Linked DNA regions of Tamandua tetradactyla. The protein of the gene in region 1 purifies or fractionates together with the protein of each later gene. This does not show direct contact. Links are inferred from orthologs where the notes say so. Each region holds a gene or a part of one and is shown in the gene's direction. Other genes may lie near its edges.

What was found.
Region 2: the proteins of ABL1 (region 1) and NCK1 purify together in Homo sapiens (affinity purification with western blotting; 3 studies listed by BioGRID). This does not show direct contact. The link is inferred for Tamandua tetradactyla from reciprocal best matches to the Homo sapiens genes ABL1 and NCK1.

What each region holds. Positions count from the first base shown.
Region 1 is NC_135328.1:53,605,775-53,613,552, forward strand, and holds the start of ABL1 (tyrosine-protein kinase ABL1), read left to right. Parts: upstream 1-4,643; 5' UTR 4,644-5,230; coding exon 5,231-5,366; intron 5,367-7,778. Other genes in the region: uncharacterized protein LOC143672591, read left to right, coding at 4,532-4,630. UniProt on the Homo sapiens protein: Non-receptor tyrosine-protein kinase that plays a role in many key processes linked to cell growth and survival such as cytoskeleton remodeling in response to extracellular stimuli, cell motility and adhesion, receptor endocytosis, autophagy, DNA damage response and apoptosis.
Region 2 is NC_135341.1:80,872,142-80,880,213, forward strand, and holds the start of NCK1 (SH2/SH3 adapter protein NCK1), read left to right. Parts: upstream 1-4,906; 5' UTR 4,907-5,013; intron 5,014-8,072. UniProt on the Homo sapiens protein: Adapter protein which associates with tyrosine-phosphorylated growth factor receptors, such as KDR and PDGFRB, or their cellular substrates. Maintains low levels of EIF2S1 phosphorylation by promoting its dephosphorylation by PP1.

The sequences.
Region 1 (7,778 bases):
GCAGTGTTCCAGCTGAATGGACGTCCATCCTAGAATAATATGGAGAATCCTTTGTCTTCTACTCACCATCATTCAGAATGTACAATACCCCATGAAATTGCCCCTATAAAAAACATGACATCCTTGACCCCTAAATTGTCTGTTTTGGCCTCTGTTCCCACCTCCTTTAAAGTACAAGTACAACAATCCAGTTGTATTTGAAGAATACAGTTGGTAGAGTTAACCCAGCAGTTGAATGGAAGAATAAGGTTAACCAAGCAGCTGTTTGCTTGGTTTGAATATAACTTCCCATTGAATGCTCAGTCTGTTGATAGTTGCAAGTATATCCATAAAGCTGAATTATTGATAATAGAATGAATGTTGAGTCTCTGTACTTTTGAGTGCTTCTTTAATTCATCAGAGGCTAAAAACATGAAAACAAAGTAAGAAAAATGGAGATAGGAAAATAGTAGTTGTTTTCCTCTTAGAATTTATGTTGTAATGCATTAACTCAATTAATTTAGTGTCAAAAGATAAAAACAAGGTTTTGATGTTCCTAGGAATGCTAGAATTCCTCTGCATTACTGCTTTACTGATGACTAAAACTGGTGCCTTAGTTTAGGTTGTTGGGAAGGCATTGTGTAAAAGATTGCTGTTTTATTTCACATATGTGGTGAACTGTTTTTTTTATATTTATAATTGTGTTAATACCATCGGTATCTTTTCTTGTCTTCTGTATAATTGGTTGCTGAGTACAGTAGAAGGAGGACTTAGTGATCTAAATTCCTTCTGACAGAAGCCCTAGCTACCTTAAGTCACCTAGTAAAACGTGAATCTAAGACAGGTTCAGAGATAACTAAACGCGATATCTGACGGTTTTAAAATACCGACCAGCTCTTTTTCATCATTTATCTTATTCAGTAGACAACTTTTTAATCTCAATTTTTTTCTTTCTCAAGCTGTATCACCATTTGCAGAAATCAAATAAGCTAGCTTAGATTTTTCTCACTTGGCATATTTTGGAGAAATTTTCCAGATCTTAAGCTTTTTGAGAGAAGGGAATAGGAGAGAGTGCCAGTGTAAATTTTGGGTTTGGTTTTGACTAGGGTCGTATAGTAAGCTCGTTGAAAGTTTATCCTTAGCACATGTTCTCTCTCAAATGCCTGTGTCCATCCATTATCTGCTGAATGGTGATTGTCTGCTAAGTGAAAGTAATAGAAAGGTTTGGAGCACCTTTTTGGCTACTAGGTACTTTCTTGGTCCATTAGAGGGCGCCCTTGTTAAGTAGATCTCTAGTAGGTGTAAAATATGGGATAAGCAGACATTTTTACACTGGAGCTGGATTCCTTTAGCAACTTGGTGGGTTACTTAGTTATATAAAAGTGAGTACAAAATTAGACTGAGCTGAATCACTTTTAATGAAAAGGATATTTGATCTTGATTTATTCCACATTTGGTAACATTTCTGTCAAGCATTTGCTGGACTCTGGATTCTGAGTCTTCAAAGGTATCATTCTACAGTGTTATAAAGGAAGTAAGAAAATACACCACATCTCTAGAAAAAATTAGTTTGGGTCTGGGGCTTACCTAAAATTAGAAAACAATGGAAAATAGAGATTAGGGATAAGCTTTCAGATAAAGTATAATTGACCTATACACTGACAGTCATGAAGCCAGTCATGAAGCATCGTCTCAGTCTTTTATGTGGAAAACGGAATGGTCTAATTTAATTCTTCTGATAATCCTGTAAAGGAAGCAGATATGACCTTCGTTTATAGGTAAAGAGAGACAATCAGTGACTTGACCCAATTTGAATCAGGAATAGATTTAAGCTCTAGAGACATATCAAAGCACTTCTTCAAGGAAGGTTTGGACTAATTGTGAAAGGTTACAGACCAGAAATTTAGTTTCCATTATTAAGACTGTTGGTTTGGATTGCTGCTTACTTTGCTTATTGCGTAGTCTTGCCATGTATCCTCCATGAAAATAAATCATTTTTTCCACTGCTGTATCCCCTACAACAGTTTTTGGCAAATAATATGTGCTCAATAAATGCTTGTTGAATGGTGAATGGCTTGTTAGTTCAAGGAATGTGGTATTTGAAAGAGGTCTGATTCAAATGCCCAATTTTGAGCTAAACCAGAGAATGAAGAGGGAAGATGTGGAGGAATTGATTAAGGAATGAACAGGAGTAGAAAGAAAGCAAAATCTCAAAAAACTGTGTGTGGTAATTAGGACAGGGTAGTTGGGGAAGTAAAGGGAACCAAGGGCATTGAAGTTTGAAGAATGACCCACAGATTGCTGGACTACAAATCAGTACTACATTTGTCAGCCACATGGTTTATTTTGTGAGAGTGAGCAAAGCTAAATCAATATCTGAGTTTGTAAATTACACGTATATCTGGGTACATTTTCATATGCCTCACGTTCAGTATCTTCAAGTGACTCTTTAATATCTATAAAGTCAACCCCGTTTCCCAATCCAGCAGAACTATTTAAAAATACATAACTCATGATGCTAAATTTTTGACCCACATATGGCAGGTGAATGTACAGAATTTATACTGAGGCTATTCTGATATTAGTAGCACCATCTGAAAACTCCGTGGTCTAACATTAGGTCCATAGTTATTTGATACTGGATGATAACAATGGAAAATGTTCTGAGCTCAAAAGTTGGCTTTTTTCCATACCAGCCTAGTGACCTTGGGTAAATCATGTCTCTGAATTTGTTTTGCCATCTGTAATAGGGGATACAGCTACATATTTCATTGGGCTAGTGTGAGTGTTCAAGTGAGATAACTTGAGTTTATGAAGAGTGGTTAGCACAGTGCCAGGTGTAGATTAGGCCCTGAGATAAGTGGATACCCTTAGAATTGGATATATCACAGGTGCACCACTCTGGGGAGAGGTGAAAAGCAAAGAATAGGTAGGGGAACAAGGTGCTTTTTTAGTAGACGGGTATGACAGATGTGAGTTTGGTGTGTCTGGGTCAGTGATTAGCCCTGCAGTCCTATTAAACCCAACAACCCGGGGTATTTTCTCCGCTAATTTGGGGGATGCTTTTATGTGAACACATATTCAGCTGTGAATTGAGGTCATTTAATCTTAAAGGTTCATTCTAGTTCAAACATTTATGCGCCTGGCATAGCTTTCAAGAGAGGTGCTTAAATGCTGTTGTGAGGCTTCTGATAACTCCAACAATTCGTTAGCAATACGTCGGATGCTTTCCAGCTGTGCCTTTCTTCACTGTTCTAATATTTTTTTATGGTTCTTAGGGGAAAAGATGGAGATGTGGGGCGTGGGGAGAGGAAGCTCCAAATAGCCTGTTTTTCAGGAGCCAAATCTTCTCTAAAGACGCTCAAGGAAGTACTCCAACTCCGATTCTGTAAAAATCCGATCCACAGTTTTTCCCTTGCTTTGGCTTTTCGCCAATCTCACTACATGGCGAAGGGGAGACGTCTGCTCGCCCTGCACTAGGCGGGCGAGAGTCCACAGGCTCCCAGGAGGGCGGGGCGGAAGCTCAGGAATCAGGAGCAAAGGACAAGAAGTCTCGGGCGCCGTCAGACACGAGCACGCTCCACGGAACCACAACTTCCGGCATGCACTGCAGGCTGCGCCCAAAGCGATTGGCTGAGGGCTCTAGCCTTACTGCCCTCACTGTCCAATGGGACGGAGGCGAGAGGACTGACCCGCATTATTGGGGACCAATGACTGTACAGAGGAGGCGGGTGCTTCCTTACCACTCACCTTGCGCTCAGAAAAAAACTCTTTTTAAAGGTCCAGCAGGACCCGACCCTAGCAGGCAGTGACACCAGACTCAGAACGCGCGGCGGTTTCCCCCAAAAGTGGCGCTAGGGGCAATCGGATCACCACGAGGAGCGGGCCGTCTTTCGCCGGGGGCGGGGTCAGGGGCGGGGCCTGGCCTCGTTGTGGAGCGGCTCGTAATCCATCATGGCTGCCGCGGGGGTCGGTGTCTGTCTCTGAGCAGCGCTGGAGCCGGAGCCGGTTCCCGGGTCCTGCTGCTGAGGAGTTCCTCCGTTGTTGACGGCCCTTCTCGGCGGTGTGGGGCGGGGGAGGCTGGGTCCCGCGACGGAGATCAGGGCATGTAACTGCCTGGCGCAGCGTCTGAATAACGACGTCCGGGGCTGGGGGAGGGGGTGTCTGGAGCAGAGCCCCTCAGGCTCGGGGCAGCTGAGGTGGCCGGGCCTCCTATCCCCTCCGCCGGCTACCTGTCTCTGGGCCGCGAGGGTCTTCGTCCTTTACAGCCTCGCCCCGGCTTCGGGGATACTGTGGGTGGTCTCTGCTCCTCAGACCTGGGACACCCCGTTTCCTGAAGCGTGGAAGAGCTTCGCCCCGGAGTAAGCCGCCCGTGCCCCATCCCGGCAGCCTCCCCCTTACCCTGAGCCGCATTTTGCTCTTACTCCCGGCCTCAAGTTTGGCCGCGGATCCCCCCCACCCCACCCCCATTCACATCCTCTCCTTGCTGTCAAGTGGTTACCCCTTTCCCCCAGGTTGCTGTCGAGAGCCCCTGATGCCCTGACTTCTTCCAATGTCACCTACGGCCCTTTTAGTCTCAGCCCAGCCAAAAACGTTAATGCGAAGGAAAAGTCTGGATTGGTTTCACAGGCCCTTTAAAAAGCGGACTTAAAAATTGCTGGCAATGCATTCCTTTTCGACAAAGTCGAGGGCAAGCCCCTGCTGAAATCTGGGTGACCCGTGTCCTTTTCCGGAGAGCAGAAGCCGGAGCAGCAGCCAGTTGGGCAGGAAATTTGTGAAAGATGATGAAACTAAGATAAGAGGGTGGGTGACTTCCACAGGAAAAGTTCTGGAAGACCATCTAAAGACGTTCTACATTTCATTATATGTGGGACTATAAATGACTTCAATGATGTTGACCCTTTACAGCATCCCATGTGAATATTTCCATTTAGGGTTTTCCTCTTGAAAAGAAGGAAATTGTTATTCAGCCAGTAAAAGGCAAATTAAAGAAACTTTTCAGTAGCATTACAATTACATTACTTCAAATTGATTGCGAAAGTAATTGGAACTCCTGTTTACATGAATCAACCTAAAAACCGAACTTCACTGGGTCTTGGAAGATGTCTTTTTGTGATTGACCTCAATGAACTGACTTGTGGGGATGCAGTGAATGTGAAACCCCACATATATATTATTTTCCTTTTAAACTCACTGACCATTCTGGAAGATCTTGAACCCTTTTCTGGAAAGGGGTGCCTATCGTAACTTTATGGGGCAGCAGCCTGGAAAAGTTCTTGGGGACCAGAGAAGGCCAAGTTTGCCTGCCTTGCCCTTTATCAAAGGAGCAGGCAAGAAGGAATCATCAAGGCATGGGGGCCCACACTGCAATGTTTTTGTGGAACATGGTGAGTGCTTTTCAAGACTTCTGAAGTCATTTTTCCTTATGCATTTAGTTTAGTCCAACAAGGAACTTTTGAACAGTAGTGTTGTGCCAGTTCCTTCCAATTCTGCTTAAAGCTTCTTTTACTGCAGTTACCTCTTAGTTTCTGTTTGAACTTTCTTTGTATAAGTTATTTCGTGACTCTGTATGCCTGTTCAAATTCTCTTTGAGTTGCATTTTTTTGCCTGACTCTCCTTCTTACTTACTGTTGACCTTGGGCAACTGTTCTCGGGCCTCAGTTTCCTGAGGGGGTTGGACTTTTGTGGTTTCTTAGGATCCATAGTTCTGTAAAAGTCTGCCATAATCTAAAACGTGGGCTCTTCATTGAGGTGCCTGGGTCCTTTAATACTGCACACACTGTTCTGGGTGTGCTTGTGTGTGTGTGTGTGTGTGTGTATGTATGTACAGTTATCTACAGTAAGCTTTTATCACGTTCTCAAAGTGTGGCCCCCAAAAGATTAAGAATCACAGATTCTAGTTGATGCGGGTACCTTTGGCCTTTTCAGTCATAAGTAGTACTTGAAAATACTCACTTTGGGGCTATGTGGGGAAAATGGAGTGGAGAAGCGGCATTCTTTGTAAATTGAGGATATAAACTTACTAGTTAATTTACCTTACATTGAAAGAGCTTTCTCCATTGAATGAATTTTCATCATCCTCTCTCTCTTTAAATGACATTTTGGGCAAAAAATGTTGTCTGACATTTTTATGAACATAACGTTGGCATTTGAGTGCTGACAGTACATATTGTATTATTTTCTTCCAGTAATGCCATGTGGAGTTAAAGCTAAGGGTCAGCTTAGACTGATGTCTGTAACATCTAAACTAGTTAATGATAGCCTTGTTTGTACTGTTGCAACCTGACATTTTTCAGATTGTATACTTTATATCAAAATATCAATTGAGCCCACCCACCCTGTAAGCAAATATAAGATATGTACAAGTGGCATACACTTTGAAATTCAATCATAAATGATCAGCACAAGTAAATAAAGGCCTCTGTTCAATGAACTTGGAATTGACAGCTACAGAATATTTTCTTTCTTACAGAAAAATATTTACCTCATCTAAAAAAATCTGGGTACCTACCTGGATTTTACTTTGCCTTGAAACGTAGTTATATTTTAGCATTGGTTATAGACAGGCAAATATGGTAATGTGTTACTTTATGGTACTTCTCAAATTCAGGATTTAAAAAGTGAGTTGTTTACCTTTTAACTAGTCATTATCATGCAGTCTCAGTGAAAATTGTTAGACTCTTTGGAGAGGTTTGGAAGAATTTATCAGAATTTAAAATGTACATACCATTGACCCAGTAATCTCACTTTTGGAAACTAACCTAGTATAGAACAGCATATTCCCCTAGATGTCTCTGTTACTACTTCAGGGAGGGGGTCAAGAGGTTAAGTCTATTTGCAGATTAATACAATGCTAAGATGTTACTTGCCTCTTTCACTGTGTTGACATCTGCACTAATATGGCAAAAAATGCAGGTGCCTTGGAATGAATCAAGGCAGTGAGTGGCGCTTAACTGTACTTATAACCATAGTATTTTGCATGCCCTGTACCCATAGTTAAGAAAAAAAAAGTTTCTCTTAAGAATGTCTTTGATGAAGTAGCAAAAATTATTACTTTTATTAATTCTTGATCCTTGAGTCTATGTCTTTTTAATGTTATGTGGGACAAAATGAGAGGTATGTGTAAAGCACTTCTACTTTGTATGGAAATCCATTGGTTATTTCTAGGAAAAGCATGTGGGTGATTGTTTGAATCACAAGCTGTACTACCTGTTTTTTTCCTGTACTGCTTGAATGGATGACTGATAGACAAACTATGATTATTCACAGTTGGGTCCTTGGCAGACATTTTCTGAAAAATATATGGACACTTGTCTCTTCAAGGAAAACAATTGATAGAATTTGTTGCCAGTGATAAAATTTGAGCTTTCAAGTGAAAATTAGAATTTTGTATAACTTGTACCCACCACTGTGGTAAAGAGATGATGGTGATATTTACAGATCTGATATTCTGACATATTATCATGAAATGTATCATTTGGAGTGTCAACATAACTCAGTGAATGATATTTTCTAAATGATCAATGCATGTTCTAAAATCATACACAGGTAGAAGATCCTTATTCAAAGTATCAGAATATGAAAAGTTAATTGGTATGGTTTCAAATTCTAGATCATAACCAACCTTTAAGAAACTACTGCTTATCAAGTTTTTTTGTTTTGTTTACTGTTTTGACGCAACAAAAATTTATTGGCTCACACTCTGCCCACCACAAGTTCCACATCAAGGTCTCAATAGGCCACACTTTCTCCCCAAAGCCAGGCGTATTCTGGTGCTGGTTTGCAGCAATCCCTGGAGC
Region 2 (8,072 bases), on another chromosome or scaffold:
CAAATATTAAATATGTGAAATATCACTGGTGTCTTTATTGTTTTTAACAAAAACTTTGGGAGAAGAAGAGCATTAACTTTCATCATTAAGGAATACAAGCCTTGAAAAAATGACCCCTTTCAGATCTACAGTCTGAGCATTCAAAAAGTACAATAATTAAAAAAAAATTTTTTTTAAAGTAGAATAATTTTTATGTGCAGTATTCTACAAATGTTTAGCAACAATCCTTCAATATTAAAAATCTTCTGGGTGGGCCACGGTGGCTCAGCAGGTAAGAGTGCATGCCTGCCATGCCCAAGGACCCGGGTTCGATTCCCGGTGCCTGCCTGTGTTAAAAAAAAAAAAATCTTCCTTTGTGAATAGTACGCTAAAAGGTGAAATATTGAATATCAAGCCCTATTTTGTCATCTACTTGCATTAGAAAACTAGATAAGACTGGAGTAAGGGAACTTGAGTTGAGGCAAGAAAGAGGGAACAAGGAAAGGAGCTAGGTTTTCAATGACAATGACTGTTGTCCTAGATTAGAACAGGATACTGGTCTTCCCCTTGCTGTGGCCGCGTTAGGCAATGCATTAGGCAATGCATTAAGAAATGGAGGGAGGGAGAAGGCTGGATTCCTGCCAGCCCTACTTAATCCATGCTATTTTGTACTTGACTGTAGGAGACCTTATGTTGGGGCAGGGCGCCTTCAGCTGTATATCTCTCTTCCAAAAATGCCCTTTCTAATTTTGTGGCAAGTAAAGGCACTCCTTAACCCTGAAAAAGATAGTAATAGTAATCATAGTATTGCAAAATTTATATGAGTCTTTTAAAATGGATCTAAAATGTATAAAAGTATATAAGGTAGTATTTTCTTACTTTGGGCCATTATTACTATCTTAGCACAAATGTTGATATGGCACTGGTAATTATTGTCTCTCAGCTCCAAATTCACTCATCTATACTTTGCTCGTTGATGGCTTAGACTCTGCAAGCTACATTTTTCCTTTGTCACCTGGTGTTTCACTATGTTCCACCAATAATGGGCATTAGAGGGAGCCGGGAAGGCAGAGAAGGGACTTCCTCCTTTTTGTTTGCTTGCAGTTCCGGTCATTGTTACCCCAGCAATAAGCAATAATCCTTTCCGCAGGAGCAGCAATTGGTTCCAGACTTGAGTTTCTTTCGGCAACCCCCAAACTAGCTTCCTATCCCTCTCAGAAACAGAAGGACCAGTGGGACAGTTTCCCTCCTCAAGGTTCTGAGCTCCAGCTCAGTGGGGCCATTCCTCTAAGCTTCTAAGGCCTGATCGTCCAACCTCTTCTTTTTCAGAAGTCTGAGGAGTGGAAGCTTCACCCTGTACTTATCACCTGTGAGCTACATCAGTGTTTCCTTTTTGCTTTATTAGTTGATCTACACCCAATATTAAATACTCTCTGTTATCCTATCTTGTAATCACTAAATACTCTGTATGGTCTTATCTTGAGATGGTTATGTCTTCAAACCTTCTCCAAAGGAATACAGCCATTGGTAGTATGTTTGTGCTTTGGGAAAATGTCAACATTCAGATTTTTCAGGGATTACTAGACATTGGATCTCAATAGAAATTACCCAAATTGAAAAACATAAAGAAAAAGTTGAAAAAAGTGAACAGAGCTAAGTATACTTAGCTAAAATGCCTAGCTAAGTGAAACTATAGTCCCAGAAGAGGAGAGAGAAGAGAATCAGGTAGAAAACAAATTTGGAGAACTACTGGGCAAAAATTTTCCAAATTGATAACAAACAAACAAACAGCAACGTACAGATCCAGGGAACTCAGTGAACCCTAGACAAAATAAACACAGGGAGAACTGCACCTAGAAACATCATAATTTGCCAATAAAGAAAGATCAAGGAAAAAATCCTAAAAGCAGCCAGAAAAAAGAACTAGGACATACAGAAAAATAATAAGAACTACAATTACAGTCAACTTAGATACAGTGGAGGACAGTCAACAATGGAATGACATTTAAACAACTGAAAGAAAGCCCTTTGATGGCTTCTCAATGCCTATAGGGTGAGGTGTAAGGTCTTTTACTTAACAAGATCTTCAACGACCTACCTTTGATTACATTTCTAGTCACCCTCTGTTCCAGAAATACTCTATTTTTAATCCCCCTTTTCCCCCCCTACAGGACCCTCTGCATGGAATGCCCTTCTCTTTTCTGCCTAGTTAATTGACCGACTAGCCTGATCACACAACTTTGCTGCCTTTTGACTTTATGTCCCTCTGGACATATCTATTGTATTTACTGCATTAATGCCATATTTGTATGGCATTCTCTGAAATGGATAGAGCTCCTTTAAGGCAGGGACTGAGCTTTAAATTTCCAGTACTTGTTATAGTACCTACTACAGTGTGGACCCTCAATCAATGTGTGTAGAACAGATTCCCATAAAAGTATGAAAATGTTTAATTCAGACATTGTTTAGTTACCAGGGTCTACTAACTTTGATACATCACAGTTGAGCCTATGATTAATTACTTACCTTTGCTGATAGGGCTTTTTTGGTCTAAACATTCCTGCCTGTTGGTGATGCTATCATTCTCTCTAATAATTTATAACTATAAGCTATCTATAGTTTCCCAGGAAAGGCTTTGGAACATGGAGGCTCATTTTTCCCTTCCTTGTCTTCCCAAATCCTTTTGGATTAATGACATGAGTCACCTACCTGTTTTTGTTTCTAGACAGTTATCTGCCCATATCCCAAACCCCACCTTCAGTCCACAAGTCATTAGTCTTTACCTAAATTTTGTTGTTGTCTAATTCTGGCTAGTCCCTGTTCCACTGAGCCATAATTAGCAAAGATGATTCCTGTTTTTGGTTCGCATTCCACTGACAGAGATAAGCCATGTGCCTGTATATGTTTGGAAGTAGGGGAGAGTGTGCAAAAGGTGGTCTCTGGGACAACTCCCTCCTTCTAAGTACACCAAACTGAAATTTTCATAGATGATTTTCTGCCTAACTATCCTTTCTCTCTATGCTTTCCTCTTTCATTTCAGTTTTCAATAAGAAAATTGGCTGTTTTCTTATTTTTCTACTTTGACTCTTTTTCATACATTTTTTCAGATATTTTTAACATTCTTAGTAAGAATGTGTTATGAAGCAGACTAAAGGAAAAAGTTAAGTTTATAGGGAACTGACACCCTTCTATGAAAAAGCAGATTTAAGCTCTCTCCCTTCCTTGCAGCTGTTGCTTCTATTGCTTAAATAACTGACATACAAGTTAAGAAATCTGTGAAAGGTCTGCTCAGATTACTGGCCCATTCAAAAGACAGATTCCCTTAACAAAATTAAATTTAAATGTATGACTCGAGCATATTTTTTTCTGGGATTATCTTCCCTGCTTCAGATATCAGTATAAGCTACCTGAAGGTTAGGATTCTATTTTACCAGTTTTTGAATTTACACCCCTCTCCCCCTCCTCACGTGTTAAACACGTAACTAGAATTGAATTGAGTCAGGTCCTAACAGTTTGCTGTGTGATCTTTTGGACAAATCATTTAACATCTAGATAATCATTTCTACACTTCAAAAATGAGAGAATTACTATCTCAAGCTATAAACCTTATGAGATCTTTTAATAAGTAAGAATAGCATGACATGATAACGCAAAGTTACTCAGACCCTTAGAACAAACCCCAAATTCACTTGCATTATTGATTCGGTTGCTCATAATGGAATGTGGCTACAGAGTAGCTGTTGGCCAGCTGTGTTTCACGGTCTACTTGGCGCAGCCAACTTGAGGCCCGGAAGTAACTACAGGCGATTTGTGCTTGACCTTGTGATTCCCCATATGGCAGGCAAACCACATGCATACATCAGCACGCAAACGGATCATTTTGTAGTTGAATCGTTAAATACAAATAACTGCCATGACCCTGGGATTTAGTCAGGGACAGGATTAAAGGAGGGAAAGATGCATTAACGCCTTAAACAAATATTTACCGCTGTCTTTCATGTGCCCTGGGGAAAAGCTGAACAGACACTGACATAGTTCCTGACCTAAGGGAATTTACAGTTTAGATGGGAACAAGGACTACAGTTCTGTTGGGAAACGGATCTGCAATCCGAGAAAGGTAACGTAAGCCTGCAGGCTTCTCGGAGGAAGCAACACTTAAACTGAGCAACAAAGAGAGGGAGCAGGGAACTAGGCCGATGTCGCCGGGGGCTGGGGAGGGCCTGCAGGGCTGGGGGAAGGGGGGGAGAACTAAATACTGCCTACCCAGCAGGTGGCCGGGACTGGCCACGGAGAACGATTACCCCAGGCGAGACTGGAAGCTGCCCTTCCAAGGCCCTCAGCGCCAGCTCATTTCGGCTTATGGACCAAATATAAGCATATAGCTTGCATTTTTTTCCCCTCCCATGTACCTATTTCCTAGCCCTTTTGCTCGCTCCCCGCCCCCAGGAACCTTCAGCTGCCAAGATCCTCAGGGACAAAATCCAGGGAGGAAGTAAATTCTCAGAGCAGCTGGGGCTGAACTCCACAAGCAGTGACTTTTTGCAGCGGAGTGGCTCTGCGGGCGCTGAGCAGCAAGGCTCAAAATCGTCAGCTGCAGCAGCCGGGGAGCAGCGGCGGAGAGACTCCGACCCAGCGCAGCCCACCCGCTAGTCCTCTGGCCTGTGGTCGCAGCGCAGCCTCAGCTCCCGCCACGCCCACTTCAGCGCTTGATTGACAGCTCGGCCTGCTCAATCCTAGAGCGGCACCAACCACCGTCGAGGGAGGGGCTGGAGAGAAGGGAACGGGCGAGCCTATCAGGACCCGCTGGGAGAGCGAGGTTTCCTGTCGGGGCGGATCCGCCGGTAAGTGCTCGGCCAGTCGGCGCCGCCGCCCGCCCACCCGCCGGCCGCGCGCGCTCCGCCCCCGCCCCGCCCCTCTCCCAAGAGCTACGCGGCGGCGGAGCGCAGGCCTCGTGCCGTAACGGCCATCGCGGCGGCCGCGGCGGCGTCCTGGTGGGCTCCTCAGGGGAGCTGGAGCGGCCTCGGCGCCGCAGAGGTGAGTCGAGGCGAGGCGGGGCGGCTTCGGGGCAGAGCCACGCCGGGAGGCCGCATCTCTCTCCCTCCCCTGTGTGTCCGCCCGGCTGGTGACTCGCCGTGTCGCTTCCTCTTCTCTGGCGAAGTTAGCAGCCCCGGCGCCTTCTGCCGGCTCCGAGCTGAGGGCAGCCGGAGGGGGGCGGGGAGCCCGCGGGGCCGGGCCTGGGCGTTCGCACCGCGGCCCCGCGCGCCCCTCGGGCCTCCCTGTCTGGCCCCGGGACACCGCGTCGGGGTGAGCGCGCCGGCCGGCGACCCTTGCGAGGCCCGGGTGGGCGGCTGTGCGGCGCGCGCTTCCCAGCCTGCTTGCCTTCTTAGAGAAAGTCCTGCTGGTTGCCGTGTGCCTAAACCGAGGCGGGGAAGGTGTGGACAGGATGGAGAAGGGCCGGGCGGGGGAGGGGCTGGCACCTCCCGGCCGAGGGGAGGGGAGGCGCCGGGCCGGGCGCTGAGGGGTGGACATATGGACGGCCCCTCCTCCCTCCCCCACCCCCAGCAGCTTTCCTCATCCTCGGGAAATCTGGGTGGTTTTTTTTTTTTTTTGATGGTTCGGACCAGCCTTAGTTCCATTCGCGAGTTGCTCGGGCTGCGGGATTTTGACTTGAGTTGTAATATATCCGTTAAAAGATTATCTTGATAGGTTGGTCTTGTAACCTTTCCTAATGTATTTCCATAAAAGTTAATTTCGCCCTTTGAAGCTTGGGAAGCTAGGTGTTGTGCAAGAGCTGAAGGTAACGTTATAGGCGCTTATCTGATGTCGAGCTGAGGAATTGAAGTCACCGAAAATTCTAACCGTTAGTTAGGAAAGAATAAAAAGGGTTTAAAGGAGAATTTTCTAACCTCATTTTCGGAGGGGAGAAAAGCATCTCAGTGTCTGGTCAAAACGGGTAGGTATTGCAAGATTTAAAAAAAGAATCTTACTCTGATAGGTTTATGAAAAAACATTAACGATTTATTAAGCCCCCCATTTTTCAGCGAGGTCACAGATTAAATGGGGGAAATAATTCAACGAAAAGTTTTTTTTTTTTTGTAGTTGTCAGTAATGGACCGTTCTTAAATAGGCATCCCCTTAAAGCTAGATTACTCAGTAGGTTTGCATTGCTTAACCAATAGTAGTTTCATTTCATCTTGACCCAGAACTCTGGGATTTTTTTCTTTGGGAAAATTGTGATTTGTAGGAATTAACTCTAATATCTGTAAATACAGTTTACAGGGTGTACAAGTCTTGTGCACAGTTGTGTTTGTTCATGTATTGAATTTTAAATTCTTTGCTGTATCTCTCCACGTATTACTTGTTAGCCCAGATCTTCCCAGTGCTTTGAGGCCCATGTAAAACCTGAACCATAGATGGAATGCTTTGTTAGACATTGAGTGATGCTTTGCGCTGCTGGGTTTCTTGTTTTTCCTTTGACTTTGACGTTTTGATTAATTTCTGTTGTGGAATCGGATTAAAAATCTCCTTAATTTCTTTAAAAGAAAAAGCTTGTTTTCTCTAACTTTGTTTAGAGAAAATAGTACAAAATGTAAATATATTGCTCAACGAATTGTTCAATTTGGGAAGACATCAGTATATTCATCACCCAAGATTTAGAACATTTCCAGGGCGGCAGAAGACTCATGCCCCCTCTCCTATAGCCACTATTCTCACCTGTCACTAGGTGAGAATTAAATTACTTTTGCCTGTTCTTGAATTTAATGCAAATGCAAGCAATATGTACTGTTTTTTGTGGATAGCTTATTTAGCTTATCATTGTGTTTGTGAGATTCATCATGATGTTGGGTGTAGCAGCAGTTGGTAATACTCCTACGGGTGAATATACTACAATTTTCTTCTTTTAAATTAAGCATTGGTGGGCTTTTGGCTTGTTTTCCAGTTTTGGGCTATTGTGAATAAAGTTGCTGTGAATATTCTTGCCTAAGTTTTTCAGTGGATATACATGCTCCTTTCTTTTGGGTGTATATATACTGGGAATAGAATTGCACTTTCGGTATCTACCAGTTTTTGAAGCTGCTTGAACCTGCCCTCCGTATCTGGTACATAATAGTTTTTTTGAAATTTCCCCCTTTATCATAAAACTGGTGACTCCCTTTGCCTTTCTCCTGTGTTAAGTCTGTTTCTGTGAGTTATGCAGTTCTTTTTCTTGGTTTATTCCCTCCTTTTGAAGGAGTATATCCTACAGTAGCTTCCTGTGAAAGGTTGAGACCTTGCATTTGTGGAAACCTTTTTTCTGCCTTCCCACTTGGTTTGATTGGGTGACCAGTTTTAGGTTGGAAATATTTTTCATTCAGAATTTTTAAGGTGTTGCTCAATTGTTTTCTAGCTTGTGAACCTTTTGAGAATTCTGAAGATAATTCTTATTTCTGCTCCTGTGTAATGTTTGTTTCTTTTCTGGAAGTCTGTATATCCTGTATTCTTAAATTTCATAGGATGTGCTGTTTTCATGGACATTTATTATGTCTTCTAAATCTACAAAATTATTTTCATCAGGTGTGGGAAGTTTTTTGAATTATTTTTTCAGTGTATTTCTGTCACCTCCTTTTTCTTTCTCTTTCTCTGAACATTCTATTATTTGGTTGGACCTCTTTGACTAGTTTCCTTTTTTCTTATATTTCTTCTATTATTCGTCTAGTAGTTTTGCTGTATTTTATGTGGGTGGTTTCCTTGATTTTATTTCCTAAGCCATCTGCTGGAGTTTTCATTTTTCCTGTAAAGATTTTGAGTTCTTTATTCTCTTAAAATTTCGTTTTTATATAGTATAGAGTTCTTGTTTCATGTTTGCAAATCTTTAATTTCTGAGGAAATAACATTACTTAAAAAACAACTTGTTTTCTCCTCTCAGAGTTTGTTTCCTCTAAGTTGTTTTTTTTTTCCATTTCTTTTGGTCTCTAACTTTTATGTTGGAGGATTACATCAGATGTCAGTCTTTAGGTGTTTATTGGTGATTGACAGCTAAAAAGCCTGATTACCTGATGGGGACTTATAGACTGAATTTCATTGTATAATGTTCTAAATGAGCCTTTTTTTTT